Drosophila melanogaster: one gene and its partners. The protein of the gene in region 3 interacts with the protein of the main gene of each other region in a pairwise test. Each region holds a gene or a part of one and is shown on either strand. Other genes may lie near its edges. The genes, in order: Kap-alpha1, CG11380 and CG17896.

Region 1 (10,154 bases), on a different chromosome or scaffold from region 3:
ATCGATCAGAGTGAGATTGGTTAGACTGGGTAGCTCCAGGAGGAGCTGCATGATGTGGCCCCTGTCCCCACTTTTCGGCGGCGACTCTGTAACGGCGTGCATAAATATGATGACTGCCTGTCGCAGTTTGGGGCAGTGCCGTCCCAGGAGCCCCAGAAAGGGGTAGGTAAACGGCTCATCCCAGCTACCATGGGGCACTTCGCACCTGGACACTTCGGAACCGCACAGCTGCAGCAGGAACTCCCAGTCCGGAATGGTTTTCAGAAGCCGCACATTGATTTTTTTGTGGCGCGTTCGCAAAATGTCCGTCAGTACAACCTGGAATAGTGGATGGGCCCGGCCCAGATTTAGCTGGTCCTCCAGCACATTTATATATGAAAATATCTGATGGTAGCAGTCGTAGTTGAGATCCAGGAAACCGGGTCCCCCACTCATACTCTGCGGTCTTCCGACCAGGAAGGAGAAGGGGCAGCCTAATCCCAGTTTGTCCATTGTCCTGAAACTATTTTGCAGTTCAACTGTTTCCAAGTTGATAATACGATATTTCCCGTTTTTATGCGGCTTATATCGTAATAAATCTGCTATCGATAACATAACGGAGCAGCTGATGTTAAATTTTAAGTTTGAAGACTTTTTGGTTATTCCCTTTTTTTTTTAAATTTGTAATTAATAAATTTAATTATTTTACTTTTGTATGTAAGACCTTCATAGCATTTCAGGAGCAGATTCCCGAATTCGCCAGATATTTTTATCACGCCAGCATCTACTCCATTTGGAGATCTCTGCGAAATCGTTTTATGTTCGTTTACACTAAAGAGTTTGAGGACAAAAAAGATAGTTATCTGTCCGGTTATATATTCCAAGGTAGGATAAGTGCAGTGAATTGAAATAATTACACATGCTCACCATTTGAATTGCTAGATCAACCTAACATCTTGGTAATTACTTCACAATACCTGAACTCAAGCACTTTTGAAATTAAAACGAACCGATTTGTCGGTCCGCGAAACTTTAACAAAAACCCGGAGCCTGTTGAGTTTTACATACTCCAGCGTTTCGATGCCAAGGGTACGAAAGCTACTTGGGAAACCCAGAGTGCAATGTCCAGCAAGATGCGAAACCTCAAGGGACGCGAGGTAGTCATAGGCATCTTCGACTACAAGCCTTTTATGCTATTGGATTATGTGAGTTTTAATAAGTTTTCGCTACCAGAATATATCGCAGTAATTCCAGTTATGTGAGTTAGGAAAAGCCACCATTATATTATGATCGTTTTATGAACACGACGGATGTAACCATTGATGGAACAGATATTCAACTAATGCTCATTTTCTGCGAGTTGTACAACTGCACCATTCAGGTGGACACATGTAGGTAATTAAATACATTCAACTAAAGCTTATTGTCAAGGCAATCCACAGCTGAACCATACGACTGGGGTGACATCTACTTGAATGCCTCGGGCTATGGTCTGGTTGGAATGATCCTCGATAGACGAAACGATTACGGAGTAGGGGGCATGTATTTGTGGTAAAACTCTTGATTAATCAATCAAACATTTTGAAAAGTAAACCATTCCATCGCTTTCTAGGTACGAGGCGTACGAGTATATGGACATGACTCATTTTCTGGGACGATCTGGAGTAACCTGTCTGGTGCCCGCTCCGAACCGTTTAATCAGCTGGACGCTCCTGCTCCGACCATTCCAGTTTGTCCTCTGGATGTGCGTGATGCTCTGCCTTCTGCTCGAGAGCTTAGCTCTTGGTATAACCCGTCGCTGGGAACACTCGTCGGTTGCGGCAGGCAATTCCTGGATCAGTAGTCTGCGCTTCGGTTGCATCAGTACGCTGAAACTTTTCGTAAATCAGAGCACCAATTATGTGACCAGCTCGTATGCTCTAAGAACCGTCCTAGTGGCCAGCTACATGATCGACATTATATTGACCACTGTGTACAGTGGCGGTCTGGCGGCCATCCTCACTTTGCCCACTTTAGAGGAAGCGGCGGACTCTCGCCAACGTCTCTTCGACCATAAGCTCATTTGGACGGGGACTTCACAGGCCTGGATTACCACCATTGACGAGCGATCGGCCGACGTAAGCCCTACAAAATTAAATTTATTAGTACATTTTTTAAGATTCTTATTTATGCAGCCAGTTCTTCTTGGTTTAATGGAGCATTACCGAGTTTACGATGCCAATTTAATATCCGCCTTCTCGCACACGGAGCAAATGGGATTTGTCGTCGAGCGCCTTCAGTTTGGTCATTTGGGCAACACCGAGCTAATAGAAAACGATGCCCTAAAGCGGCTGAAACTTATGGTGGATGATATTTACTTTGCATTTACGGTGGCGTTTGTGCCGCGACTGTGGCCGCACTTAAATGCCTACAACGACTTCATTCTGGCTTGGCATTCCTCGGGCTTTGACAAATTCTGGGAATGGAAGATCGCCGCCGAATACATGAATGCGCACCGCCAAAATCGCATCGTGGCATCTGAGAAAACGAACCTAGATATAGGACCTGTTAAACTTGGCATTGATAATTTTATTGGCCTAATCCTGCTTTGGTGCTTCGGCATGATTTGTAGCCTTCTGACATTTCTCGGAGAACTCTGGAGGGGACAGGGGTAGTTTAATTGTTTTTATTTTCTATATACATCTACAATATCAAAACTAAACTGAAACATGGAAGTATATTTACATATAAGATATGATTTAAAGATGGACGCGGCAAGGTAGTTGCCCGCGAAATCCTCCGCCTGCACCGTTGTTGCAAGGGGATGTCAACGTGGCACGTTGCTGCTCACGTAGTAGCTAAAGTGTGTTGCGGCGAGTTGCTGCCCACAACACAGTCACCTCGTTGTCGCCTCTGTAGCTGTGGTGTGGTACAGAGTGCGGATCAGGACCAGGTGGTGGCCACGATCGGTGACTATAGCTGAAGTGACCAACTGGAATAAGCCGGTAGCAGGGTCGTAGCTCCGACTTGATATTCACGGCAGGTATCTTACGATAACATCACTTTATTTCGGCTGTCAGTTCAGAACTAAGTAATACAAAGAAAGATTACCCTATCTCGCACAAATCACGGCCGCCGACCAGCATCCGAAGTATAGCTTCGTGTGTCGTTCGTCGTCACACGCAGCTTTTCCTGATGTTACTTGTTAACTTATATATTTATCATCGAGAGCCAACAAAATTCTCTTTATTTATTGCTTTATAAGCTTTGTAAAAAGATTTTGAATAGTGTCTTTCAGTTTAACTCAAATGGAGCACCTGATCAGTAACTCGAGTAATTAAAGGATCCAGCTCGTGGTCCCCCAACTCCTGGTCCCACAGATCGTACAGAGTATCCGTGGCTAGATTGACGGAGTTGTTCACGGCGGTTGTGTTGAATGTTCGAAGGGAGAGGAAGATGACTGCATCCTCCACCAGAGGGCTGTAGGTATCGCAGATTGTGTGCAGGGCTCGAGCTCCATTCGGCGCAATCTGTAATAAGAAAGCTTTCAGAATATTGCAGAACGAAAGAATTCAGGGTAATCACTTCATTTAGGTTCACTATTAAAAAAACCTTTCCATCGTTGATTTTTGATTTGAATTGTTCAATCGCCAAACCGTATTCCTTCATGTGCTCCTTCTTCATGTGAATCAGCTTTCGGGGACCACCTGTTCAAATGGCGAGCGCATAGTGGGTTACATTAGAAATTTTAAATGAATATTGCGCTTTTCTTACCAAAGCACATTGAAGCCTCAATGGCAATTTCATCGATCAGTTTCTCCAGCTTTGGATCCTGGTGCAGGAACAAAAATACACTGGGGTGCTTGTCCTTTTTGTTAATCAGCCCCTCGATCCCCTTTTGCAGGGCTCTCCATACTTTTTCCTGCTGCTGGGGATACTTTGTCCTGAGATCCTTAAAGTCACACTGTTTCTCCTCTATAATGCTGGATCCGTACCCATAGACAACCAATAAACCAAATAGAACACCGGCAAGCGCTAGTTTAATACCGATGCCGTTGTGATGTTCATTGATAGAATTGTGCTGCTCCTGCCTTGAACTCGGCCTAGAAGTTGAAATACTGCGTCTTCTGGACTGATCGGTGGGTTTGGGAATACTGGGTTCGTCATGGGATTCACTTTCTTCCAGTTCGTCGGCCGAAGATGTCCCTTCCTCGTAGCTTTGTACCGGCTGCCTATTGTAGGAGTGGTCCTGGTCCACATCGTCCTTTGACTGGGAAAGAGCCCCAGGTTCGTTACCATGCAGTGGTCGTCTCGCCAGATTACTCATTGTTATTACAATTAGAACTGCTTTCAATTGAATAGTAAGAAGAATATAAAAAATGCTGAGAAGCTCAAAACAATATATCGATATCCAAAAACTGTATCGATTGTTCCTATAAAAAATGCCGAAGGAATAAAAATATATCGCAAAACATCCAATAATTTCCAACATTGTAAAATCAAAATTGATTATAAATTTAAAGGAAATATGAAAGAATCAATTTATCAAATAGTTTATTCCGATATATCCCAGACTTAGGGATACGACTTTAAAGATTAAACACAATATGTACAGAGTATGTATATTAGCTTAAATTAAGTCCTACTTAATCCTGATTAACTATTCTACTCCGCCGTTGGAACCGTATTCAGAGTAAGGCGTCGTAGCCTGCCCAATACGAAGATTTCGTCTATAGCTTTTTTGGCATAGAATTTTTGGTCCTCGCTGAGTTTGCGGTACTCAAGGGACCAGGTCTGTGCATAAACATTGGACTCCTCGACCCCACTTGCGTCGAGTGGTAGCGCGATCTCGGGAATGTCCGGAATACGGGCTGAAGCTGCAGTGGAATCTCCGCCGCTGACCGCTTCCCCCACAAAGGCGGCAACATCGGCAGGAGAGGGTTTTGTTTCCAACTCATCCGACATGGATTGTTGGTCATCATGTTCCTCATGATGCTCCTGGTCCGTCTCCTCCTTTCTGTCGTTGGATTCGCCCTTGGAATTGTAGCAGCAGAATGCCTGTTTCTTGAGATACTGCAGGTGACACCGGTGACGCCTCAGGTTCGTTGTGGATTTGTGGGTGAAGGACATAATGCTCCTGCAGCCGATGCAGAACAGTACGTGCTCCAGAAAGCTACCATCGTCCTTCTTGATCTTGCGATACACCCGCCACACAGTGCTCCGTGTGCTTTTGTCATTAACAGCCAATTGGTAGACGCCGGTTTCAATTTTCTCGTGAATATCATCGAATTTTAGCGGCATCTTGAATTATTTTGCTATTTTGTTTTGTTTTGTTCAACTAGTCTTTATCATCCACATCGATTGTCCATAATCGTGCTAATCGATTGCACCGCCCAGGTGGCAACCCCGATTAGAGGCACATTGCGCCGGCAATTTTACATATATCATTTTGTTTTTATTATTTTTTAAAGTGTTTTCTTGTTTTCCTACCTGGTTTAAATGGCGGCATTGTGCTTAGACTTTCTCGGCTTCCAGGTGGGGGTTGGAATATTGTTGTTTGGGTTAGTAGCCGGCATACTAAATGGCTTTAAGTTTCCAAACAGGAGGCACTGAAGAAGATGCGAGATGTGGACGACAAGATTATATATGCACTAAATGCCCTGCCAACGGAGTCGTTTAAGGGTCAAGTGAACAGTGAAAGCACCTGTCGCGATCTGTACGCGAAGCTCCAGGAGTCACACTTGGCCAGGGTAAATCCTGATTAAGTACAACACACGGGGATCTTGACAGATAGCTTCTCCTTGCAGCAAGAAAGCATACGCAGTTGCATAACAATTTCGGCTAGTAATCTGAAGAAGCTAAGGGAAAAGCGGGAGACCCAGCCGGATGATGTGGATACGGATAACCAGTTTAGGGCGGAGCAGCGCAAGGTAACCGAAATACCTAAGTCTTACTCTTAACTGATGCCTATGATCCTTTCCAGCTGCGGGTTCTCCAGGCCGAGCTCAATGTCGAGGACATCATTAAAGATCGTTCCTACAAGACCTTCAATGAACGATGCCGGTCCTATTTTCATGCTGGCCAATAGGTGGAACAAATGCAATGACTAGTTTTAGGTGGATTTATTAGCAGAAGTCTCATGGAACTGCCAAGCCAGAAGGCATTTACATGCACTCCGTTGTATTACAAGTTGTTTACAACAAGTACATAAATATAACAGTCTAAAAAGCACAAACTTTATTCGTCGCGGGGCAGGTTGTATGTAGCGTAAACCGATCCGACGGGTACGCATTTTAGGTTGGCCAAGGCTTCCAGGACGCGCTGGGTGGCATCCTTTAGGTCGTTGTACTCGTGCAGCAGTTCAATGATCTTCTTTTTCTGACCCTCTGACGTTTCATTTGTCTTATTGGCCGTTTTGCGCGACTTTTTCTTATTTTCTTTCATGTTTAAATTAAATGCAATTGGATTGGAATTACTGCTATCGGTTGATATCGCTATCGATAGCGCGTCAGCTGTGTGCATTGCATTTTGACAGTCCGGCATCCCCGTTCCTCACAACGTGTAAAATCTCCCGTCCCCTTGCATGATTAAGACGAGAAAAGGATTCTCCGGAACAGGTAAATTGTGTTCTAATTACGTATCTGAAGGCGCCTCTTCTAACCAGGAGTTGTGGTGGCTCAAAGAAGGGCGTAACCGGAGACCAGCGAATGGCTCATGCTGGCTGACCTAAGCCCGCACCTATACGCACAAACGCAAAGCAGCCGTGTGTGCACATATGTACATACACGTACAATGAAATGTGAAAGTGTTGTGATTGTGCATTTTGCCAGGAAAACTGAATAGTTCATTAAATGTGAACCTATTATATGTAAATTATTCGCCTGACAACGTAATCTTTATGTTTCCGGAAATGTAAAATTAGCCTAGAGCAGGCGCTAAGCGAATGTTCAGTGGTTACAGGGCGTAATAATCCTGGTGGGAGTGGATGAGAACATTGGGGAACACCTAGTGATGATTATAAACGTTCAATTCAACTAGTTCGCATTCCACGACGACCTCTACCTATATTTTCTAGATTATTTGCACTTTCGTTTAGCATTTGATCACAGTAGCGGCGAAAATCAAGTCGCACTCACTTTTTATCTGAAACCTGTCTTTACGACTTAAATTATTCTGTTCTCAAAGAAATATTTTTTTTAACTATTTCAAGCTTTTGAATTGCCAAGACGACGAAATGTCTGCCAGCCACAAACAGCGTTATAAAAATGCCGCCTTGGACTCCACAGAGATGCGTCGTCGTCGCGAGGAGGTGGGCATCCAGTTGCGAAAAAACAAACGCGAACAGCAGCTCTTTAAGCGACGCAATGTGGTTCTTGAGCCGGCTACATCCTCAACATCAGCCGGAGTGGAGAGCAACACCGATAACGAACAGCAGGTATATTTTGATCAAGTTTGGCCTGATAGCATAGTCTTAACTATCTCTCCATTCCAATGCAGGCTGCCGACATGCACATGGCTGACAGCAGCACTGGCGGTCAAAACGAGGAAGCTGCTGGAAGCGGGGCACAGCCATCCGTAATCAACGAGGAAATGATTCAAATGCTCTTCAGTGGACGTGAAAACGAACAGCTTGAGGCGACTCAAAAGTTCCGCAAACTGCTGTCCCGCGATCCCAATCCTCCCATTGAGGAAGTCATCCAGAAGGGGATAGTGCCACAGTTTGTCACCTTTTTGCGAAATAGCGCAAATGCCACGCTGCAGTTCGAGGCCGCCTGGACGCTAACGAACATCGCATCGGGCACCTCGCAACAGACCAAGGTGGTTATCGAGGCCGGGGCAGTGCCTATCTTCATTGATTTGCTCTCCAGTCCCCATGATGATGTTCAGGAACAGGCCGTGTGGGCCCTAGGCAACATAGCCGGTGACTCACCCATGTGTCGAGACCATTTGCTCGGCTCCGGCATTCTAGAGCCTCTCCTGCAGTAAGTTATAAATAATTATATTGATAAGATTGCGCCAAAGTAGGTGTGACTTCTTGCAGTGTATTGAGCAACTCGGATCGCATTACCATGATACGGAATGCGGTGTGGACACTTTCAAACTTGTGCCGCGGCAAAAGCCCTCCCGCAGACTTTGCCAAAATTAGCCATGGTCTACCAATACTGGCACGGTTGCTGAAGTACACTGATGCGGATGTACTAAGCGATACTTGCTGGGCCATAGGCTACCTGTCAGATGGTCCCAATGATAAAATCCAGGCTGTAATTGATGCGGGTGTTTGCCGTCGCCTGGTTGAGCTGCTATTGTAAGTAGTCCTGCTGCGCCATTACAAATTAAAATTACACTTATGATTTGTTGACCTATCCTGGCAGACATCCTCAGCAGAACGTGAGCACAGCTGCTCTGAGGGCCGTGGGCAATATTGTGACAGGCGACGATCAGCAGACCCAGGTGATATTGGGGTACAACGCTTTGACCTGCATTAGCCACCTGCTGCATTCGACGGCGGAAACAATCAAGAAGGAGTCGTGCTGGACAATCTCAAATATTGCAGCCGGCAATCGTGAGCAGATCCAGGCCTTAATCAATGCCAACATATTCCCGCAGCTGATGGTTATCATGCAGACGGCCGAATTTAAGACTCGCAAGGAGGCCGCATGGGCCATTACCAACGCAACCAGCAGCGGTACGCACGAACAGATCCACTACCTGGTGCAGGTTGGCTGTGTGCCGCCCATGTGCGATTTTCTCACCGTCGTCGACTCGGACATCGTCCAAGTGGCGCTAAATGCACTTGAAAACATTTTGAAGGCAGGTGAAAAGTTCCAGACGCGACCAAATCCCTATGCTATTACCATCGAGGAATGCGGAGGTAACGCTATTTATTTTTACTTTCAAATTTCCATTTAAATATCGATTCTGTTAATATTATATAGGTTTGGACAAAATAGAGTATCTGCAGGCGCATGAAAACCGCGACATCTACCACAAATCATTTTACATTATCGAACAGTACTTCGGCAACGAAGAGGAGGATAGCCGGGTGGCTCCCGTGGCAGGCACGCAACAGTTTGAGTTCGATCCGGACAACATGCCCAGCACCGGATTTAACTTTTAGCACCCTACCGCGCAGGACATCGTTTAACTATTCAAATACGAATCCCTCAAGTCCTAAACACACAGAAGCATATGCAACAGGAAGCGAAGCCTTGCCGCCGGGATTTAAATGAAGGCGGCCAGAGCACGGACATGAAAAATAGACCGCATGAGAAGGCGTCTGCCTTGCCCAAGTGCAGTCACTACTAGCATTTAAGGAAAGATGGTCGTTCGGTCGGCTCGTTTCTTTGTTACAATCACTCACCTGCTTATTGTATCAGCGTTTAGTTCTATAATTTTCGAAGTGGTCCAGGACCAGGCATGACGAGATTGCTTTCATTTAGTTCGATTGTACTAATTTAATATGTTATACAGAACCCATTGTATATGTTTTTGCTTTCCTCAAATTGAGTCTGTAAATATTTTCCATTTTATATATATATTTTCCAGCCCAAGTACGATGAGATCCTCACATGGTGTTGTTATACATTCTGATTCATTTGATCATTTTGTTATGCGAATCGCCGAATGTAAATTTGTTTAAATTATAAAGCATTGTAATTTAATTTAGAGGACATCAATAAACAACATCTAGACCACAGCTATGCAGATTGGCATAAGTTTTTATTGAATCTTTAAGCTTATAATATCCTCATGTGTAAATAATTTTCGGAATCCTTGGAAATATCCTAGTGGATTCAGCACCATATCTCTTGACCTATAATACCGACACCATCGACTCCAGTCACGAACTTAGGTGCGCTTGACGAACTGCACCTTGTATGGTTTTGGAGTAAGCGTAATCCCAGGCAGAAGCACCATTGATGGAGACTCTCCCGCCGGCAGGACAACGCTAAAATGCTGCACGATCCGCACTAGAAACGAGAAGATGCAGGCACGGGCGAGGGCATCGCCCAGACAACGGCGTCTGCCCATGCCGAAGGGCATGAAGTACTCGTCCTTGAAGCACTTGCCAGCCGAATCGATGAACCTCTCTGGGCGGAACTCCAGCGGATCCTTCCAGTGCTCCTTATCGAGATGCACTGAACGTAGGCTAATCAGAATTGTGGCATTTTTCGGAATGTCGTAGCCACCCAGCT
Region 2 (12,400 bases), 700 kb from region 3:
ACGACGATACATCGCCACTGCCACTCCGCCTTGACGACTTGGAACGGGACCACCTGCAGCAGTTGGACCTCAATCGGCCGCCACTTCTGCCCAATCACTACGAATGGCACCCGGATGTGGCCGCCAGTCTGCCGCCCAGCTACATTCAGGAGGCCGCCCAACGGGATCGGGAGCGCGAGCGTGATCTCGAGCGTAATCGGCGACTGGAGGAGCTGCGTCAGCTGCAGCAGCAGCATCAGCAGCTGAGTTCGGGCTACGCCTTTCCTGCCCACCTGCCAGGTGTGCTCTATGTGTGAGTATTGGCTACAAGCGAGCTTTACTAGTTTCTTTAAACTTTTCTGGGCATAAAACTGGGTAAGGAAAAGCCCAAGTTTTAGCTGAGACCAAAACGAGTTCCCCAAACGAAAAGCTCTGAGCTTTGAAGTTTAAATTAGAGACTGGAAATTGTTACAAAAAAAAAAAATCATAAGACAGAATCAGATAAATTGAAAACAATTATTACAAAAGAAAAAACATAAAGCTGAATTTTCCAATGGCAATGAATAGTTCGAAGATTTGAATTATACCATATTTTATTTCACATCGAGAATCTACGCTCGAGAATTGAGCAGTGTCTTCAAAGTAGTATTCATAAATAAAAGCCGTAGCAGTCAATACCAATGTTCACTTAACACCCGACCGAGGATCATAATGGTTGCCCCTTTAATGGCCAACTGATTGAGGCAACTAGCCCTCAATCAGGCTCTTGATTGACACGTAAATTACCGCTTGAGAAGATTGCAAATTGGCAATGGAAATGCTAATCGTAATGGCGACGGAAAGGAGCCGTTATTTTGGGCCCAATGATCGCTTTCAGCCAACTTCGGATGGCCAAATTAGTTAGTTAGTGGCTAAAAGTGTTGAAAAGGCAGCATTTCACTTACAGCCGCATTAGCTTCCGACAAATGAAGCAAATGATTGCTGTAATTTAAAGGACTTAATCCGTTCGCTAATCAGCTTCTCTTCGTTTTTTCCAGTGGTCCCACAGCTGCCACGCCCACTCCCACGCCCTCGGCAGCGACGACGAAAGTGGCCTCTTCTGCAACTCCATTTGCCAATCCCATAGTTCCCTACGACTTGGAACTGGGGCTGCGCCCCATTCCATATGTAACCAGTAATGCCCTGCCCCTTCCAGTGCCACGCCCCCTTCCGCCACCCCATGCCCGAGCGCCGTTCATCTACGGATTTACCGCCCAGGGCAACCGAGCAACCAGCCACAAGCTGCCGGGTCAGCCCCTGCTGGTCCAGCAGTCCAAACAGTTCGCCTACGCTCCCGCTCAGCCCCCCCAGCGGCACTACGCGAATGGGCCACGGGTTCCGATACCGTATCCCCCAAGCTTTGTGAGCTTCACCACTCGGAGACCGGGTTCGGAGCGTATCAGGCCATTCCGGCCATCGCAACCGGATCCCACGCCCGATTTGTTTGCTGGACGCTCCTCGAAATCATTGATCGACTCGTACATTCCCAGCTGGGAGGTACTGCGCCTGATCAGACAGCACCAGCCGCAGCAAGGATTCACGCCCATCGCACGCCAAACACTCGCGTATCCCGCTCCGGCGCACTTGAGGCTCTACAAGCGAGATTCCCAGGAGGACCGGTCGAGAATCGTCAAGGAAACCTTACCCGAACCTTAGAGTTCGAGTTCGGGCTTAGCGTACGATTTAATTTTTTGTTTCTTAATTTACCTACAAATACGAATATTTATTGCCGCAAAAATGAGATTGTATTTTGTTAAACCTTATAATGGGGTCTTTTGGTGTCATTACGGGTTCGAATGTTTATGAATATAGAACCGATTGCCATCAGTCTCGTGATGAAATTAGTTTTCTCCTAAAGTCATAAAGTTGATCGGTGATCACATAACAGCATACACATGGCCAACAAGCCGCATCCCCAGCTCTGCAACTCTTCAGCTCGCCATTTAAGCCAGGCCAGTCCAGGCCATCGCGGGCCAAAAGCGAAGCCAATCGCATCAAATGTGCAATATGTGACTTTGTCAATGAGCCAGTTGAGCCCCAAAGCCACCGATTCGATTCCTTGGACTCTCCCCCAGAGGTTTTACTCACGTAATCGCGGCCATAAACCAAACAGCCAGCAATAACAAACAATTACGGTGCGATGCCACTCGGAGTGGCCACAAAATTATGATTTGTGTGGCAGTGTGCGGAGATGCGGAGATGCGGAGATGCAGAGATGCGGCTTCGAAATCCACGAGACAGAAGACACGAGACTGAAAGACGGACAGGTGGAGATTTATGCAAGTAGGAAGCGAAGATGCTGCAGTTGCAACTTGCGAATTTCGAGTTGTGGCAGTTGTTTGTGTTGCCGTTTTTTTTTTTTTTTTTCGTTTCGTTTCGCTGAGCTGCGCTTCTTTTGGCCATCTCATGGCTGTTAATGAAGCACAAAATTGCTGCATTGTTTGTCACCCATTAAATATGCAGACGACAGACGGAAAATAAGGATGATAATGATGATGATGACGGGCAGCCCTGCCCTGCTTTAAAGGGTATTTCCTGGCTGCCGTTCATTCCGGTGATGGCGAAGACCACACTGAGAGAAATAGCATATAAAATCTCGATGTTTCTGTCGCATTATAGAGAACTGTATTGAGCCAAAGCCAGTGACCTTCTCGTGGGGTCACATCTCGCTCCAGTTGAACGAGCCGAAATAAATCGTCTGCTCGATCGTAAATACGCATTCGAATTGATAAAGAAAGGGTCGCGCTTTGTGGAGGATGCCCACGGTCAGCCTTCTCGATTTTGGCTTTGTGTGCGATGCGATCCGTAGGCCTCTTCATCAGCATGGGACTTGCCCGGCACAATAAATAATCATAATGCCGCATTATGACGGCTGACTAAGTGACATTGTTGCACCTCTGAACAATGAGCCATGGCTAGTTGAATTGTTGAAATCGAGCTAACGTTGAGGTTCGGCCGCTTGGTTTGGCAATGCTTTCTTAGCCGCGGCTTTGATTCGCTCCGGTCATTGTTGGCATCGGAATTGGGCGGAATCGAATGGATCGGAGTGCCCGAGCACAAAAGAGCATCGAACTGGCGGGCTGACCAGCATTTCAATTGCGTATTCTCCTTATCGATGCGCGACCATCAATGGGAACTTAATCGAAATAGCTAGCCGACAGAGGGAGACCCTAAAGGAGGAGAGTCAAAGCGATTAAACATCACCTATTTCAACCTAAATGGACAAACATGTTTCGATTCTTTGTCCACATGCACTTTCTTCACCATGTCACTTTCGGAGATTGTCGACGACCCTGAAACGGCCAACACATTTCGAATGCAAGGGTACCACCAGGCGGCAAAAACACTTTCGACAGTGCCGCCTCGTGATTGCGAATGATGTTTTTGGGTTTTAGCTTGCAGTGTTCAGTTATCTACGGCCTTTTATCGTTATCTCGGTCCGCTTAGTGTCGTGTCTTGTGTCTTTTGACAAAATGGATTACCAAATCCCACCAGCGACGATCCGAACACAAACGCCACTCTTGTTATGCCATTTCTCCTTTGGCGCTGGGCAAAGCCAAAAGCGAAAAGCCACTCCAAATCCCAGGCCAAGCCCAAGCGAAAACAACTTAATGCGCCAATTAAAGTGCCACTACTCGCGGACCTCCGGCACTCTCTTTTTTTCCCATCTGGATGGGATGCTCTGCAATTGTTTTCATGCAAATTTCAGTTTCTGTTTCGATTGGTTTGTGGCTTTATGCGGGCCAGCGGAATACAGAAATAATAATAATAATGAACCCAAAACGTATTCACCCGAAATGAAAGGCCCCGGAATCGGTCTTTTGAGTCCAGGCCTTTGTCATAAGCCAAAGTTACGCCAATATTTTTATGGCTTTGAACTTGAACTGGAAAAGCCAAGACAAAAGCGTCGCCGTTTTGTCCCCAAAGAAATTGGAAAGGTTTCCCAGTTCCCTCCATATCTGGTTATCTACTATACAATCATATATATAAATATATATATATATGGCCCTTTGTGAAAGATTGCTCTCCCATGGCGAATCAAGGTCGATCATCTATGATTCTCAGCACGGGAAGCTCCATGCCTAGATGGCAATGGAAACTATTCAATGAACAAAGTGGGCAGGAATATTTAAACGGGCACATCTGTAACATCTCCCCTACTCGTATTCCAGTGCCTCAAACTACATCTTCCCAATTCCGCAACTTTTTTTTCTCCGCATTTTATCTCTCTGTATCTGACCAGCATCTAAAGTACTCCAGCACTTTGTTTACAGTTGCGGCAATCCCAGGCAACCTACACCTTCAGTCACACACAGCTACGTGCGGTGTCATTGGTGGTGAACTTCGGTCTTCTTTTCCCGATCCCCGGTCCACAATACGCCTTCGCCTTCGCCTTTGGCTTTGGTTTCAGCTTTAGCTTCAGCTTCAGCTTCAGCTTCAAAAATTCAACTTCAACTCCAACTCCGAAGCCGATATTCCAGCTTGATGCAACCCGAAGACCAAGTTGTTATGCTGTGCTTGCGATATAAAAACCGCGAGCATCGCCAGCGCCATCCGCAGTAAGAGGCGCGACTTTTGAACGCTAGCACCGCTCCGATTCCGATTCCGACTACGAATCTGAGACGAAAATCAAAACCAAATTCGTATAGACACTATAACCAACATAACTTAAACCCACCAGCCCGGCCGTGTACCCTTGGTATTTTTTGTTTTTGTGGTTCTCGAAGACACAAATGTATTGAAAAGTGCATATATTATTACATATAACATATAACGTCAATATCAAATTCGGATTTTGTGAAAAAGTCGCTGTGCATGCGCATTGATACCTGGAATCGCCATGAGATTAGCGTTAATATTGGTAAGAGTAGGAGTAAGATTATACAATCTCCTTTAGAAAACCCGGAAAATAGACCCACCCACCAATCGAATTGTGCAATTTGTGCGGGATAAAAACTAGTCGTCGGCTGACAAATTAATTTGCATTCAAGTGGTGCAGTGCTGGCCAAGCCGGCTTAGAAAGTGGTTGCAGTTCAACCAACTCGACCAGGTGTACGATACAATGAACTCCCAACTCCCGCTGTCTATGGTGTCTCCATATCTCGATAATCTTGACCTTTTCACTCGCTCCACTGACTCCTGCCCTTCGGCTTCTCGGCTATCTGACCCTGCCCTTGCCCACTTTGCCAGTCCGTGTCCAGATCCATCTATCAAGCAGCACGATGGAGGAGTAGTGGGGTTGAGTTGCGTCAATCGCCCACTAATTGGACGCTAAGATGGTAGAATCACAAATCTGGCGATTGCCGAAGTGGCCAGCAGAGATTCGTTTACGCAAATGTGCACACTGAACGAAATTAAGGGGTGGTAGGTGGTAAAGTGTCTTCACATTGAATCAAGCGGCTATAAATATTTATTTGCATTACTCATAAAAGAAATCATCTTGTGATATATTAAGTAAGTAAGTTTTGAACCAACGTACTAAAGTACCTAAATGTCAGGCAATAGCGTGTATTTAATTTATAAGGGCACTTTACAACTATGTCAACAAAGAAGTTCGAACGAGAAGCTTAATTTAACTTTTATTAATATTCGTACATATTGTTAGTCTATCCACATATTTGGATGTAGTCTTTTCCTTCGCAGCGCTGGAAAGACTCGTTTTCTGGAGTCGCCACTCGTGTGGTTACATAAAGTTATTACGCCCCATCCGATGGGGGAGAAGGCGCCGCTCAGCCACTGGCAGGATAATCTGTAGACGTCTAATTTACATTTTATTGTTGTGCTTGGCTTTGATGTTGCAGCAGCTGCTGTGCTGCTGCTGCTGCTGCTGCTGCTGCTGCTGCTGGTGATGCAACAACGAAAGTGAAACAATAACTAACACACCGCAGCACACAAACTGGGCAAAAATCCAAGTCCGACTAATTTGCACGCGTTGCGTGACGATCGTTTGCCCCGACTTGCCGTTGTTTGTAGCTCGTAATTTGCAATGCGGGAATGGGAATCTCATCTCTGGCGCAAAATCGCCCACCAACCCGTCCACTCGGTTCGATTCTTTGTGCGGCAAGTGAAAGGCAAGGCGACTTCGGGACTTGATGCAATTAAATTAAATTATTACAGAAAATAATTGGTAAAGATAAATCAATACGAAGACAGATCTAACTAGTTGCTGCTCTGCTCCTTCTGTATGAGCGGTGGAGGTTACATAAAAGCAGTTCGCTCTTCGGGTCCCACAGCTCATGCTAGCATTTGACAAAAATCCGCAGCTATTCGCTGTTGCGGCTGACTTGTGGCAAGGCGAGTGTGCCAAAAAAAAAACTCTTCCTGCTTAACGACTAGGCTAAATAACAACTGCTACATAAGCAACCAGCAGTAAAGAGACGACAACGACTATTAAAATGACTTGACACACTGTCCTAGTTTCGGGTAACATAACACACACACTCACTTACTCACTCACTCACTGGATAATCGAGTCACAAAGTGCAATTAAAACTTAACTAACCAAGCGAAGTACGAAATTATTGCTGCACATGGAAAACTGGGAGAGGCGCATGCTGCAATTATGGCATGCAAAGTCAGTAAACTATTTTGCTACTTGGAGGGCTAATTCGATTTGAACCGTAAATCTGAAATTAAAGAGTAATGATCAGTAATGACAAGAACCTAGCCTAAACTGGATTAAATGAAACATTATCAGGCTAATAACCCATAATTCGCATGTATCAGTAACAGTTAGCGACCGTAACCCATAATCGTCACCCAGATAATCATCATTTGATCGATGAAAACCGAACCATTAGTGTTATCTACCACCATTTGCGAATCAAATGACTGAAGGCACGAACTGCGGACAAGCGCTAAAATGAAAAGACTCAAGACACGAACTCAAAGACATCGAGATTCAATTACAACACCAATTCGCCTGACGAAATGTCAAATGTGAAACCTCTTCTCAGCGTGTGTTGTGCATCGAATGGCTTAACGATCGATATTGAGAGCGATAGATGGACCACAGCTTTTGTCTCCAACTCCCCCTTTGTCACCCTCTATTGTCTTTGCCTCTTACCTTGAGCCCGAACCAAGATTGGCCAAAACGAAACCAACAATTTTCACAATTTGATTTGAGTTGATTCCGACAACGAACCTAATGTCTTTCCAGCTTTGGAACATTTTTAAATCGTTACAAATTCTTGAAAAGCTAACTTCGATAGACTTCCTGTTTGTTTCAACTCGCAAGCTGGTAGCTAAGCTTTAAATAATATCAAAAAAGCAATTCCTTTAGTTAAATGTATAAGTCCTATAAAATTGATAAACATTTTACCTTGTGTTTGTCTATATTTCACAGGGCACTCTTAGTGCTATAGTGTGCTTGGCCAGCAGCTTGAGCCAGTCAGAGGCGAGTGGCTCAAAGGGCAATGGATTTCCCAAAAAGGTTACCACCCTGAAGAAGCGACCAACAAAAACGCCGACCACAGTTCCGATTTCCATCAGCAGAGCAACCACTTTGAAGCCCAGTAAGCCACGCGTGAAGATCGGCACATCGGCAACCACCAAGAGCCCCACGAAAGCACCGGCCTTAACCGAGACATTTGGCAATCTGCCGGCGGATGACCTGGAATTCATTAAGGAGCTGGACAAGCAGTTCAAACTGCACGGAAACAAGATCAAGATCAAGGTGGAGAGGGATAATTCCACGAGTAGCGGCGGCAAGAACAGCAAGAGGACCATCGAGGGGGATTTGGGGTGAGACCATGGATGACAGCATTTTGACTGACCAGATATTAACCCATCTAACTTCTATATCCAAACAGATACGGCTACTCGCATCCTGGCTATGATTACACGCCGCCCAAGTTCATGTTCTATCCATACTCACAGCATGATATTCCCTCGGGCTTTGCCCTTCCACAGCCACATCCGGAGGAGCAGGAGGAGGAGGCACACCAGCCGGCAATGCAACATCATCACAATCACGAGCAAGTGACCAGCGTGACCATTGAGCCCTCGTACTCCTACGAGCTTAAGCCCCAGACCAGCTATGAAACCCAACCGCAGCACACAGCTCCCGAGCAGCCGCAGATTGATCTGCCCCAGGATGAAGCGGAAAGTCCCAGTGGTGCAGGTGGTTCCAGTGGCCACGGGGGATATCAGGAGCCCGTCATTGTCTTGCGTATTCCAGGACCCGCCAAGTACGCCGCCCATTTGCAGACCCTTCTCCAGCAATATCTGGAGATCAGAGCGGCCCAGTACCTCAGCTTGCTCCAGGAGGCCGATCAGCAGCAACAACAACAGCAGCATCAGCATGTGGATCCTTCGCAGCAATATGGACCACCAGAACCGGCCACCTACCATCAGGAAGTCAGCTACGCCCACCAACTGGCACCCACGCCGGCACCCGTCCAGTACGCACCCATCGATGATGTCTACCAGAGCTACAAGGGTCGCCACCAGCAACAGCTGCAGCTGCAGCAGCAACAATATGAGCCGCAACAATACTACGCGCCCATGGACTACCAGCAGCCCACACAGTTCTACTACGCTCAGCCCCAATCCCATTTGCAGCAGCAGCCTCAGCTCTATCTGATAGCAATGGCCCAGCCGGAAACGGAACCGGAGCCGCAACCACAGCAGCACCATCATCAGCAGCACCATCATCATCTTCAGCAGCAGCAGCAGCAGCAGCAACCAATATACGTTCCAGAATCTGATCCACCGACGGGTCCTTCAGGTGGTCCTGAACAGGAACCGGAGGCGGACCACAGCCTTCCCATAACGGAAAACAACCCACGACCCACCCACACCAAGGTCATTTTTAATCCGTACCCCTACCAGCAGCAGCAGCATCAACCGCAACAGCAGACCACCAACATCGAGGAGCACCAGCACCAGCCTGAGGGCGAACGCCCCTTCAACTACCACGCCCATGCGATCAAGATGCGCCAGGGCAAAAGGGCGGCCAAGCCGGAACCCGCGGATGGGGACGTGGGTCCCAGTTCGGGCGACAAGGGACTCCAACAGATCAGGGAGTATGTGAGGGAGAAACTGGGCGCTGAAATGGGTTCGGCTGTCGAATACAAGACGACACAGCTGCTCGAGGGCTGAGGTCTGGATAAATGTTCAGATGTTCGAAGGCATGGAAACTCATTTGACCGAACGCACTATCTCTGCCTGGATGAACTAAACCAATTTTTAAACTTGGCAATCTTCAAACGATTTTATCAAAGGTTTTTTCGGATGCCTTAGAATTCTAGAATTAAATTTTAAATCGCTTACGCACGTTTTCTATGTATATATCCAGGCAAGCCATCTTTAAAACAAATTCAAACATCCGTACATTATGAATATGGGGATCAAGTCCAGCAAGACAGTAAAATTCCAGTGAGTGCCATGCCCACGTTCACTCGTATTCTTAACACACAATTTGTGGTTGCTTCTTGTGCCTGATATCCGCTCATTAGTATTTATTCCAAGCTAGAGGAGCAGAACGATCCCGGGGTGATCCTCCAGCTCCAAATCTCATCCAACACCTACCCGCAATCCCTGAGCTACACAGCCAAGGCATACTTTTGGCCGGAAAAGAGGGCGCCTAAAGATAGGCATAGTTTTCTTTTCTTAGCGAAGAGGTGCTGCCGGGACACATTCGCTTTTCATTATTTTGTACGACGTTTTTTTTTATGTTGTTTATATTGTTAACCAAGAAAATGTGCTGCTGATCATGTGTGCAATATTTAGTCTTAATGTGCTTCTTGATTTACCTATATTATGTACTTGTATTTTTGTATGATTAAACCGAAAAGAAATTAATTTGAAAACCAAATAACTCTTTCCATTTTATTCGAATATTTGGCCAATTCACGGAAGTCACGCAGCAAAGCCATAAAAATAGCATCAAATCCGGCGTAACTGAAGTACTAAAAGCTGAACGATTTTGACACGAGTGTTACAACAAATTTTTGTTAAATTAAATACACCGAATTGTTAGCAGGCACGCAATTGGAAAATGCGGGGAAAATCCCGGAGGAAATTTGCGAGGATGATGGCCCTCGCCATTCCAAAGAGTTCTCTTTTCCCTATCAAGTCAAGTAGTTAGCATGGCAAGAGTTCTGGGTGTGTGACTATACCTGTAGTTCAGCGCAACAAGATCCTCAAATGCACAGCATCATTGTACATAAAATAAGTTTATATGATCTGTGCTACACAGTGGCTGCTTGTTGTGGAGTGGTTTCTGGTGAAGCTGACGTTTTATGGGTCCATTGTTGGGACGTAGCAATCGTTTATTCAGATCTTAAAGCAGGTGCTTTTCACTTTTTCGGCACAGCGAAAGGAAGTACTGGATGATTGATAAGATTCCGGGACAGGGAAAAGACCCTGATTCCCTGAATGGCCTTACTTTGAAAGCAAATTGGAAGGCTTCCCAAAGGTTCAAACAAAACAATGTGATCGACGGCGCACTTCTGAATTCCCCGTGCAAAATGGCCAGGCGTAGAGATCACCATCCCGATGGGAGGAGGAGGTACGGCATTGGGAATGCAAATGCAAATGCAAATGCAAGTGACGAATGAAAATGCGAATCTGCCAGTGAGTGCGGAAGCTGCCGACCGCTTTTTAATTTGAGTGGAAAGTAGTCGACAGGCGCTGCCGCATTTCAAAATTATAGAAATTGGCACAATTTACCATCCATTGCGGCAGCTGATTATGCTAATTGTTTGTCAGTAGTATCTCGAATCTTTACGTAAACATCCATGTGGCAAGATGGATGTGGCAAAAAGGAAGAGACCGCCATGTGAAAGTACTGGGCTTGTTGGGGCGGCAAATCGTAGCAAATTACAGTAGATGACTGGTGCACTAGATTAAGTCGGACTTAAGTAGGTTTCTGTCACTTTATTTGCCGTAAAGTGAGTTCTGATCTCTCTGGCCAGAACTTGCGTTTTTTAGCAGCAGAAGAGGTCACTTTTCAGATCTAAACGATCATCTTGAAAGAAAATACCAGCTCCGGCTATAAACAACTAATTGCTTTACAATGTGTGGCAGGGTGGGAGATGAAAGATGTAAGCAATCCGATCCACAAACATAACATTTTTCAGCATTGTCGAAGCGTTGCAGCTGCCACAGTGCAGCAAAGGCAATAGGAAAGTTAAAGAAATAAATAAATGCTGATCGGTGTATGAAGATGTATGAGATGAAGAACTTAAATACATTTACGATACATTTCAAGCCGCAGTTAAATCTTTGATTGAATTAGTTAAATTGAATTAAAAACCCAATCCTTGGCAAATCAATTGGTATTGAGACTGTTCATCTGGTGCGGCTGCCACAGCTGTTTCTTTGGCAGCTGGCAGCTGGTAGTGGATTTGGTAGTTTCTGCAGTTTTTGGCCGCATAACGGGGCATGGATAGCCATGGCTATATGTATCTATGTACCTATGGCAATCGCACTCGACTGCTGACAAGGTTGTTGATCTGCACATATGTGGAGGAGCCGAAACGCTTTGCCAGCTTTGTTTTGCTTTGCTTTAGCCGCTGCAAAGTTGTTTCGCTTTTATTATTACGGCTATTATCGTTAGTGTTAAGTGTGGCAATTGTTTCATTTTCAGTTTCAGTTTCGTTTTTCGCTTCTCATGCAGAATATTAAAATATAAATCATACGCCCTGTGGGCCAGCGCCATAGTCCGCAATAAAGAAATCCCCGGCCAGCACGTAAGGGAAATCAATGAAATGCCAATTGGCAAGTTATTCCAAGGCGTACTCCCAGTTCTCTAAGTCCGGATCTCTTTATCGAAATTGAAATCATCGCTGTTGGTTTTCGGCAACGGCAATTGCTGCTGCTCTTTCGGTAAAATCATCATAAATCAGCGAACACTTTTCTCCGTTTGTCTGGGCTCCTTGTTAATTATTATGCACTGAATCAGTGACCATGAAGCCAACCACCGAGTGAAGATCTGCCACGACCAACCACCGACTGCCCGCAATGTAAACACTGTGAGAATACAGCAAATGGGGAAATTTAAGAATACATAAAATAAGACAGATCTAGTGTTAATGGATTTGTTTCAAGTTTAATTTAAAGGGTGCTAAAGGCTCCCTGTCGAGTCATTGGACTTGCAAAAGTCCTGCTGCTTTCCGGACTCCACTCCAGAGTGGGTTAGTGACTACTGCCCGTTGTCCACTATTTGTCGTTTAACCCAATAAATGCCTTCGGTGGCGAGGATTTTACAAGTCAATTACGGGTATTACCCACCTGTGCCGGCAAACATTTCATTGAACTGCCTGTGGTGGAATGGGGATTGTTTGGCTTAGCTTATGGCTTAATTGGCCATCAAAGTGGCAGCTTAAACAGAGGCCGAAACTGAAGCCAAGAAACTAAAAACTATAAACCAGTTGTC
Region 3 (9,716 bases):
GCAATCTCAAATCGAAATTTATTTTACTGCGGCACGTGCGGAATAAACAAAAAATTTATCGATACACCGATGCGATTTCGATATCGATTTGCGATATGCGTAAGCGCTGTTTGTAGCTGTTGTAGCTACGTCAAATCTGGCTATTTTATAGCCGCTACAGAAACACATTCTATTTTGAGTTCTTGGCCCAATTGGATATTAATATGGTTAATAGGTAGCCATAATACCTCGGTGGCTTTGTAATAAAATACCAACAGATTTGGCAAGTGGTGAGATTTGGTAGTGTTTTCGCTTCATATCAAGCTAAATTTGGACATTTTTAGCTATTTGTCAAAAACACTGCTGGAACAGCTGATCGTCCACCACCGAGAAAGAAGCAGAGCACCGTTACAGATTCGTGTTGTTTATTTTATAATTCGAATCATTTTAAAAAATCCACTGTTTTTTTTTGTACATTTCTGAATGAGACAAGAATCACAATGCTGTTAAACTGTACGAGGCTCACACACCTCTGCACGACTCTCCGGGTCAGGAAAAGCAGCCAAATAAGGTTGTCCACATCATATAATCACCATTTGGGCAGGTGCCTCCACCATCGAACCGCCCGGTCGCTTCAACACAGCCTTCCACCGCCGAACCGTTACCATAGCCACCTGCACCCAACACTCCGCATGCCGTGGTGGTGCATGCGACGTGGATTTGCACAGAGCAGCAAGTGGTTAGCCAGGAATGCAAAGGCGAACTTACCAACTGCAGTTGGAGCCGGAATCGTGCCCGCCCCCGTCAAAATGGGCAGATCCCAGTACGGCCGCCTGCTCAGCCTGACTAAATCGGAGAAATGGGTGCTGACAGGTTACTAGCATACAACGCATTTTGAAATTTCCCAAATCCTTATGTTCTTTATTTCTCAGCGGGCATTGGCTGTCTGGTAGTTTCTTCAGCTATCACCATGTCGGTTCCTCTGTTCCTGGGCAAGGTCATTGATGTAGTCTTTAATAAATCGGGCATGGATAGCGCAGCCATGGCCAAATTGGGCGAGTACTCGGTGCTGCTCTTCGGGATCTTCGTGCTGGGCGGATTCGCCAACTTTGCCCGCGTCCATCTGTTTGGGAATGCGGGTGAGTGGGATGTAGAAAACACACATCTCTAACACTGTGCTAGCCCTGGAAAGTCGTTCGACCTCATAAGATATGAACATCTTCTGGGAACTGTACCATCTTGGATTGTTTTACATTAATCAATTACGATTTAATGAACTGTGAAGTAGAATGCGTTTATTTTGACCACTTATTCGCTTTATACAAAGCATACGTTATAAGAACCAATTCATATAGGTCTTATGTCTACCTGTTTCTCGTTTCAGCTCTCCGAATAGTGCGCAGTCTAAGATCCCGGCTATACAGATCTATGCTTATGCAGGAGGTGGGTTGGTTCGATACCAAGGGCACTGGAGAACTAATAAATCGGCTGAGCAACGATACCTTAATGGTGGGCACCTCGTTGAGCCAGAACGTATCGGATGGTCTGCGATCTGTAGCCATGATCGGCGTCGGCACAGGCATGATGGTATGATATAACAAAAAGTGGTTTGCACTGCCCAAAACCTTATTTTATCCAGTTCTTTCATTGCAGATCTACACCTCCCCCCAGTTGGCTGCCGTGAGTGCCTTGGTGGTTCCCGCGATGGCGGGCATGGCCATCGTGTACGGACGCTACGTAAGGCGGATCACCAAAGTAGAACTAGACAAGTACGCCGAGATTATGAAGTTTGCGGAGGAGCGATTTGGTAATGTTAAAACGGTTAAGACCTTCTGCCGAGAACAACAGGAAGTAGCTGCCTTCGATGGCAAACTGGATGAAGCTCTCCAGATTGGCTACAAAGAGACACGTGCCAGAGCTATTTTCTTTGGATTGGTAAGACCTAAAGGAAAGGTACTTAGGAAAATCATCAAAATCTGTTATCCCTTATTTCAGACTGGCTTCTGTGGCAACTTCATCATTATTTCAGTGCTGTATTATGGAGGAACCTTGGTATTACAAGACTCGCTGACGATTGGAGCCCTCACAGCCTTCATGCTGTACGCCGGTTATGTGGCCATCTCAATGAATGGGTTGTCCAACTTCTATAGCCAACTGAACAAAGGCATTGGAGCCTCGGAGCGTATTTGGGAGATCCTGGACAGGGAGTGTTCTATACCCATTGACAAAGGTGTCGTGCCGTTGGAGAAGCCGGTGGGCGAAGTTGGATTCCAGAATGTATTCTTTACGTTTCCAACTAGACCTGAATCGGCCGTCCTCACCGACTTTTCGCTAAATTTGATGCCGGGAACAACCACAGCGGTAGTGGGTCGTTCAGGATCTGGAAAGACGACGATAGCTCTGCTAATGCTCCGACTATATGACCCCCAAGGGGGAACAGTGCATTTGGATGGCATAGATTTGCGAACAGTGAATCCACAGTGGTTGCGAAATAACATTGGTGCCGTCAGTCAGGAGCCGGTGCTCTTCTCGTGCTCCATTCGAGAGAATATTCTTTATGGCGCTAATCCTGGCGAAACACCGAGCCCGGAGCGACTGCAGCAGGTTATTGAAGATGCAAATGTCAGCCAGTTCACCGACCAACTGCCGGATGGACTAGACACGCTCGTCGGCCAACGGGGAATGATGCTCAGTGGCGGACAAAAGCAAAGAGTAGCCATTGCCAGGGCTCTAATTAAGGTGGAGTCTAAATTCAATTCTTAGTTACTCAATTTACAATTTCCTAAATGTAAACTTATTCATACCCCCACAGAACCCCGCTATCCTGATTTTGGATGAAGCTACCAGTGCGTTGGACGCCGTTTCGGAAAATCTGGTGCAGAATGCCTTAGACAATCTTATCCAGGGACGCACCGTACTGACAATTGCCCATCGACTCAGTACAATTCGAAATGCGGATCAAATCGCCGTCTTAAGCGACGGAAAAATTGTAGAGCAGGGCAGCTACAACGAGCTTATGGGCATCCAGGAGGGCGTCTTCCGGGAACTGGTGGCCAGCCAAGCGTTCGGCAGCCGAAACTAAAAGAGGGTGTGGAATTTAAGATAAGTTGGACTAAACGGCTTAGAAGTGGCCCCACCGCTCCTTGGTGGTGGACCAGCTAGTGCTATTGTTACCGGGATATGTGTTCATAAATCAAATGTTTTTAACTCTTTGTAAAATATACACCGTTGACCATAAAGGAACCGATGTCTTTTCTTCCAAAAAAAAAAAAAAAAAACATTTCTAATGGCATCTTTCGTTGCTTTGGGTGAATACAAACACCTAAAACATAAATGGTTTTATTCTACGGAAACTTATTACTTTTCAAAGAAAATATTCAAACGGTTCTTTACATAATAATCGTTTAATTGTTATCATTTACATACAATTATTTTCAAGATACACGTTTCGTCTCAAATCGTCTTAAATCTAATAAACAGGCACACAAATAAATGCAATAATTTCTTTGTATCTAGTTTCTAAATACGTCCTGTGTGCAAGCATCCAGAAATTCAATACGTGGAACATTTCATCTGAATCTTCTCCAGAATCTTTTCAGGTTCTGCCTATTTCATGGTGGGCATGGCCACAGCCGCCTGGGTGTGGGTCACATCCGTTTTGCGCCACAACTGGGTGACCGTCTTCGTCTGGGTGTAGAATTTGATACCCTGTTTGCCATAGAAGTGATGGTCGCCGCGGAAAGAGCCACGAGTTCCGGTAAAGGAGAACATGGGCAGGGGCACGGGAATTGGCACATTCACGCCAACCTGACCAGCATCAATTTCGTTGACAAACTTGCGGGCTGCCGCTCCATTGGTGGTGAATACGGCGGTACCATTTCCATAAGGATTGGCATTTACAATGCCAATGGCATCGTCCAAGGTGTCGGCCTTCAGGATAACCAACACAGGGCCAAAGATCTCCTCAGTGTAGCACTTCATGCTGGGCGTAACATCGCTTAGGATGGTTGGTCCCACAAAGTATCCATCCTCGTATCCGGGCACGGTTATCTTCCTGCCGTCCAGGATAAGCTTAGCTCCCTCCTTGACCCCAGACTCAATCAGGTCATTAATGCGTTGGCGTGAGGCGGCACTGATCACGGGACCCACGTCAGTTCCAGGTACATGGCCGGCATTTACCTTCAGCTTCTGGGCACGCTCCACCAGATCGGGAATCCATGCCTGGGCATCGCCGACAAAGACAGCCGTAGACAATGCCATGCAACGCTGACCAGCAGCTCCAAAGGCGGCACCTGCCAACTGGTTCAAAGTATTCTCCTTGTTGGCATCGCCCAGGATGATGCCGTGGTTCTTAGCGCCCATATTAGATTGCACCCGCTTGCCATTCTTGCCAGCCCGCTCGTAAATGTACTTGCCTGCCTGGTCGGAGCCCACAAAGGACACTGCCTTAATTTCGGGAGCATCGCAGATGAAGTTCACAGCGTCATGTTGGCCATGGATTACGTTGACGACACCCGGCGGACAGCCAGCTTCGTTAAGAAGCTCCATCAGCAACATGGTTGCACCAGGCACACGTTCCGATGGCTTCAGCAGCATAGTGTTACCGGTGGTGATGGCCACCGGGAACATCCACAGCGGTATCATGGCCGGGAAATTGAACGGCGCAACGCCAGCGGTTACTCCGAGGGGCAGCACTAGTGAGTACGTATCCATGTCCCTGGCCACGTTGGCTACGGTTTCGCCCATCTGCAGAGATGGGATGCTGCAGCAATGTTCCACCACCTGAAGGCCGCGGAGCACGTCGCCCTCTGCGTCGGCCAAGGTTTTGCCCTGCTCCTTGGTAATGTTCTTGGCCAGCTCACCCATGTTCTCCTTGATGAGAGCCTGCAGCTTGAACATCACCTGCTGGCGGGTGAGGATCGACTGGTTGCTCCACGAGCGAAAAGCCTTCTTGTTCGACTCAAGGGCCGCCTGCATCTCCGCCTGTGTGGCCTTGGGCACGCGGGTGACCACTTGGTTGGTGGCCGGATCGTGCACGTCAATCCATTCGTTCGTCTTCGACTCAACGAACTTGCCGTCGATGAAGAGCTTGGTTGTGGGAGCGGCTGAAGAGTAGGACCTCTTTGCCAGATGGCGGGCCTGGTGATAAAGGAGGGACAAGAGTTGGTAAACAGCCAGTACAAAAGGTATGAACTCCGATCGCTAAGCGTACTTTATTTTCCCACTTCCACGTATACTAAACCAAAAATTTACCATTTAGTCCACCTTTCATTTGCTTTGCAAATTGCCCAGTGCTCGCAATCCTAACCTCAACGGCCGGACAAATCCGTTTAATGTGGGGTGAGGTCTATTTTTTTGGGTGTTGATAACTTGAGTGGTAGGCGCGCGGGGGGCAGCCGCCCACGCTTATCAGTGTCCATCTGGCAAATTCGAGATTTTCATGGCGCGCCTGTCGTGGAAAGGTACCGCTTATCGCGTTTTATTGGATTTAACGTCAACTCAAACATTGTACCGCTAAATTCCCCGCGAATTCGCCTTGTGCGCTTTATCTGCTTAATATTCTGGTTCTAGTTCTACTTCTTCCGCTTCGCAGCGACGTATTGCGTAACATGTGTTGTTTTCAACTGCCCGTTCGCCGCTCACACCCGTGGGCCATTCCAATCACTAGAGTGGGTGGAGTGTGAGATGGGCGCCGAAAGTGCATACATTACATGCCCAAGGCCAATCGCATCGCCAATTACCGAATTCACGGCCACACCAGTGTCAGAGAGAACGAGAGAGAGCGCCAAAACGATCCAAATGCTGATGGATGGATGCACGTATGTATGTATGTCAGGGTGAGGATGGCAGCCTAGCATGCCTATAGGACATACACCCACCCACCAATTGGAAACTCACCTCTGCTCCGATCAATCGCACTAGGGACATCTTGGGGATACGGAGATGAGAATTTGGTGCGGGGATCGGATCGCGTGCTCTCCGAACGGTGGCTACACTGAAACTGAACGCAGCGCAGCCGCCCATTTCTGATGCCAGTTATTCTCCACTGTTCTCTACACATATACATGAATGGAAATATATATGTACATATATCTGTATAGGTTTGAGGTAATGTATGGTGGTGTGGTGTGGTATTGGCATGGTGTGGCGATTGTTGATATACGAAGGCGAAGGCGAAGACCACGTCAAAAAGTGCTTTACATTAGCAAGTGGTTATAGTTTGATGCTCACACACACGTGTACACGCACATATGTATGTAACTTGCTACCGCACACACCGTTAGGAACCGGGGGCACAGCTGTTGTTTTTGTGTTGCTCTGTTTTCGCAATTGTTGCTGTTGCTGTTTTTTGGGGGCTCGTTGTGAGTATGTGTGTGTGAGTGTAGTGCTTGCTTTGCGGTGTTTGCGTTCTTGTCAATTCCCTGCTGGAAGGGAATGTTAGCTATGGTGACGGCAGTGTAGTATTGTAGTACCCAAATGCATACTCTATGGTTAATCAATTTTATGGTAATCAAGCCAGTTTATGTGTTCCAGTTAGATTGTAACAACTTTTTAAGTGTACAACAGTGGAAGTGTATTGGATCTTCGATGCTAGACATGCTGAACTGGCTTAGGGTATTTATAAACACCGGCGGATCCAATGTAGTATATTTGTGTTTTTCCATCAACGTATGTACATATGTACATATGTACGTATGGACACATGTACATATGAACTTAAACGAAATGTAATCAAATATTAATACTAGTGCTTAACCGAGGATGGAAAAAATAATCAATTAGGTGATAAGTGCTTCCTAGCTGAACAGATAAATCCTAAAAATGTTTCCTGGAACGCAGTGTGGACAGAAGCAGGCTGGCGCATTTTTCACTTTCTGAATGAAAATTTGTCTGCCTGCTTTTAGGCTTTTGGTCTATTAAAATAGCAAGTTCGCTTTCATCATCGGGCAGGGTAAGCTTTTGCTAGCAGCCCCGCTTCCTGGTCAACATAATCAAAAGGACTAGCCTGCACCGGGAAAACAAAATCCATGGAAATAGATGCAACACAAATGAAAGGCTTTCTCTTTTTTAAAGAAAGTGGTTTGCTTTGTCTCTCAATGGGACAATAGTAGCTCCTTTCTGCTCTTCAGTGATGCCCACCGGTAGTTGAATCAAGGAATTACAAAAAAAAAGTTCTGTCATTTGAAATCCATAACGTTTACAAAAAATCCATTGGCTTCGAAAAGTGTAAGCATATACTAAAAAGAATTCGATTAAATATAGCATATTTTTATACGTTGTTTTTAAGCAAGCTAAAGAAGTACCAGCACTGCCACTCGCTCTTTCTCTCGCTCCCTCTCTTGCTGCGGAATGCGGAAGTCAACTTGTGTGCAGGAGCATATAAATAGTGGGACCAATCGCAGGACTCGCTCACTCTGCTCGGAGAGCTTGGACTGGACTGTCAGCGCTCCGGACGACGCGCCTTAAGTTAGGCAAAAACAATTTTGTTATTTGCCGCAGTATGGACTTGCTGCGCTGACTTACTACTTACTGTCATGCCAAGAGGCTGAGGTCGAGAGGCAGCTTGGGATCTGGAAAAGATGGAGGCCACGCCGGGCTACCAGGACATCAGCGCTCTGGAAAAATCGGTGAGCTTATCGACCAGGCAAACAGAAATAGCCACTTATTCATTCAGAAGTATAGGCACTCAGAGTGTAGTGAGAGAAATTAGGGACACTCCATGGCGGTCTATTACAATCATAAGCCACATTGTCAGTTGGTGCCGAAATATGAGTATTTAAGATCTTTGTCCAAAGTACCTAAATGTAGACTGTTAATCCAAGTTTATCGAACTTAATTTAAGATGTTGTTATCAGGATTTGATCATAAGTTCTCCTGGGAATATCTTTTCAATGCTTCCCTAAGCTGAAGAGAGAACGGAAGCGGCCAAAATTCAATTACTTAATCCATAGGTAACCTACATTTCCCTCTGCTTCAAGGTGGCCAATGCAGGATCGCAGCTGTACACGATGGCCCACAAACTGCACGCGGTGGAGCGCAGCCTCGAACAGACGACGATGGAGCAGATGGACGAGATGGAGGTCCTCGAGTTGCTCGAGTCGATGAGCGAGGTGACCAACGAGTACCAGAATCTGCGCAAGGACATTCGCGAGGTGCAGCAGTTGCAGCGTGACGTCAGCAGCTCCATACGGTACCAAATGCGCAGCATGCAGCAGACTTTTCACACTCTAAAACAGCGGATAGCTAGCTCCCAGAAGGGTCGCAAAAAGCCCGAGAAAGGGCTCGATGGAGCAGGGGTTGGTATTCATGAATAATCAATGACCCTATTGATTGGCCTCCCTGGCGAATAGGTGCGGTAAATGTGTCAATGGGGACGCAAATGTAGGGACTAAATTGGCACCAATCTGAAGCAATCAACTGTGTAACTATATATCGCAAGCCCACTCCAAGCATTTAGACTCGGAAAAAAATCCTATACTTTATATACATGTATACACATTAAGAAAACCACACCCATTGTATGCGAATTAAGGTTTTTTTTTGGTGTTTTATTCCAGTGATAGGCAGGAATAACGAAAACTCACTGCTCTAAGAACACAAAAACACAATGCTTAACACAGAGTAAACAACATTTACGATGATATGCGTTCTTTAGGACGAACCGGAATGTCTGAATGCACTTTTCCAAATTTTGCCTTAACATAATAGTATTTTGAGGTAGTTTTTGATACGACACGTTTTAAAAGATAATATATAACAGACCGTACATATTTAGGCCACACACAATGGTTATTCTTGTGTTAGTTTCATTTTTGGAGATTTATTTGTTGAGCTCTAGAGAAAATAAAAGTTAGTTAAACCTCGGGAGACGAGGAACGCATATATTTAAATCTGGCGCCATCCGGTTGTCAACAACAACCTTCTGGCAACTCCTCTAAGTCGCATCTGGCAATGTCATCTGATCGCAGCCGAGTGGCAACAGTGGTCGCTGCTGCGTTCGCGTACTTTCGTGACTTCATTTGCGATTTTATTTATATTCTCCGTGTTGCGAATAAAATGTATGTATCATGGCAGTTGTTTAAGAAGCGAATATACGCTGATTCATCCTAGGCTGGCGAGAAGATCATTGCGAAAAAAGTGTACGAAAAGAAAGTGCAATAACTGCAGCTCTATTGTGCGCGCATCTGGGTGTGCGTAGATCTTTGCATCGGTGTGTCGGTGTTTTTTTACGTTTGTGTGCGTGGCGTGCCCACATTTGTGGCACAAGTTTAAAAATTGGCACTAAGAAAGTTCAAGAAAGTGGTTCTGGGGAAAATAGTTCATTCATTCAGCATCCACTTTCTGTTGAAAGTGGCGCGCCTGCGTTTTGTGTCTTAATCATCGCATTGCTGCCTGCCTACGTGTACAGAAACTGCGAGCGCTCCGGGAGAGTCCCCGAGAATCCCCAAAATGTTGTTTTTCTGCCTAGCCTTGATCATCGGCTGCGCAGTCGGAGAATACAGCGAAGTCCGGGTCATCCAGGAAGAGGACAACTTCCTGGAGAGTCCTCACTACCTAAAAAACGAGGAAATAGGAGATCTTTTCAGCCAGCTAGCCAAGGATTACCCCGACTTGGCGCAGACCTATACAATAGGCAAATCCCTGGAGGATCGACCCATCTACGCCCTAGCCTTAAGTGCACCTACCGGGGAGTCCAAGAATGGAGATCTCCTAAGGCCAATGGTTAAACTGGTGGC

Evidence for each region.
Region 1: the proteins of CG17896 (region 3) and Kap-alpha1 interact in a two-hybrid assay, tested with the Drosophila melanogaster proteins (one large-scale study listed by BioGRID).
Region 2: the proteins of CG17896 (region 3) and CG11380 interact in a two-hybrid assay, tested with the Drosophila melanogaster proteins (one large-scale study listed by BioGRID).

The regions. Positions count from the first base shown.
Region 1 is NT_037436.4:19,800,745-19,810,898, forward strand, and holds Kap-alpha1 (karyopherin alpha1), read left to right. Parts: upstream 1-6,487; 5' UTR 6,488-6,575; intron 6,576-7,168; 5' UTR 7,169-7,192; coding exon 7,193-7,393; intron 7,394-7,455; coding exon 7,456-7,940; intron 7,941-7,999; coding exon 8,000-8,263; intron 8,264-8,330; coding exon 8,331-8,830; intron 8,831-8,894; coding exon 8,895-9,076; 3' UTR 9,077-9,654; downstream 9,655-10,154. Other genes in the region: Ir76a (ionotropic receptor 76a), read left to right, coding at 702-864, 922-1,184, 1,247-1,370, 1,422-1,530, 1,592-2,096, 2,154-2,633; CG14102 (uncharacterized protein), read right to left, coding at 1-492; TORIP (torsin interacting protein), read right to left, coding at 3,258-3,488, 3,544-3,665, 3,733-4,285; CG34116 (uncharacterized protein), read right to left, coding at 4,624-5,259; Ccdc58 (Coiled-coil domain-containing 58), read left to right, coding at 5,458-5,493, 5,562-5,708, 5,766-5,888, 5,942-6,046; CG14104 (uncharacterized protein), read right to left, coding at 6,196-6,402; Cyp305a1 (cytochrome P450 305a1), read right to left, coding at 9,808-10,154.
Region 2 is NC_004354.4:1,186,835-1,199,234, forward strand, and holds CG11380 (uncharacterized protein), read left to right. Parts: upstream 1-4,473; 5' UTR 4,474-4,858; coding exon 4,859-4,879; intron 4,880-7,363; coding exon 7,364-7,761; intron 7,762-7,829; coding exon 7,830-9,120; 3' UTR 9,121-9,826; downstream 9,827-12,400. Other genes in the region: CG14626 (uncharacterized protein), read left to right, coding at 1-292, 1,017-1,674.
Region 3 is NC_004354.4:487,511-497,226, forward strand, and holds CG17896 (uncharacterized protein), read right to left. Parts: upstream 5,986-9,716; 5' UTR 5,908-5,985; coding exon 5,878-5,907; intron 5,514-5,877; exon of another isoform or gene 5,236-5,513; coding exon of another isoform or gene 5,233-5,235; intron 5,119-5,232; coding exon 3,586-5,118; 3' UTR 3,277-3,585; downstream 1-3,276. Other genes in the region: CG3156 (uncharacterized protein), read left to right, coding at 480-852, 912-1,118, 1,364-1,566, 1,633-1,914, 1,975-2,718, 2,792-3,061; CG17778 (uncharacterized protein), read left to right, coding at 7,560-7,607, 7,959-8,294. UniProt on the Drosophila melanogaster protein: Probable malonate and methylmalonate semialdehyde dehydrogenase involved in the catabolism of valine, thymine, and compounds catabolized by way of beta-alanine, including uracil and cytidine.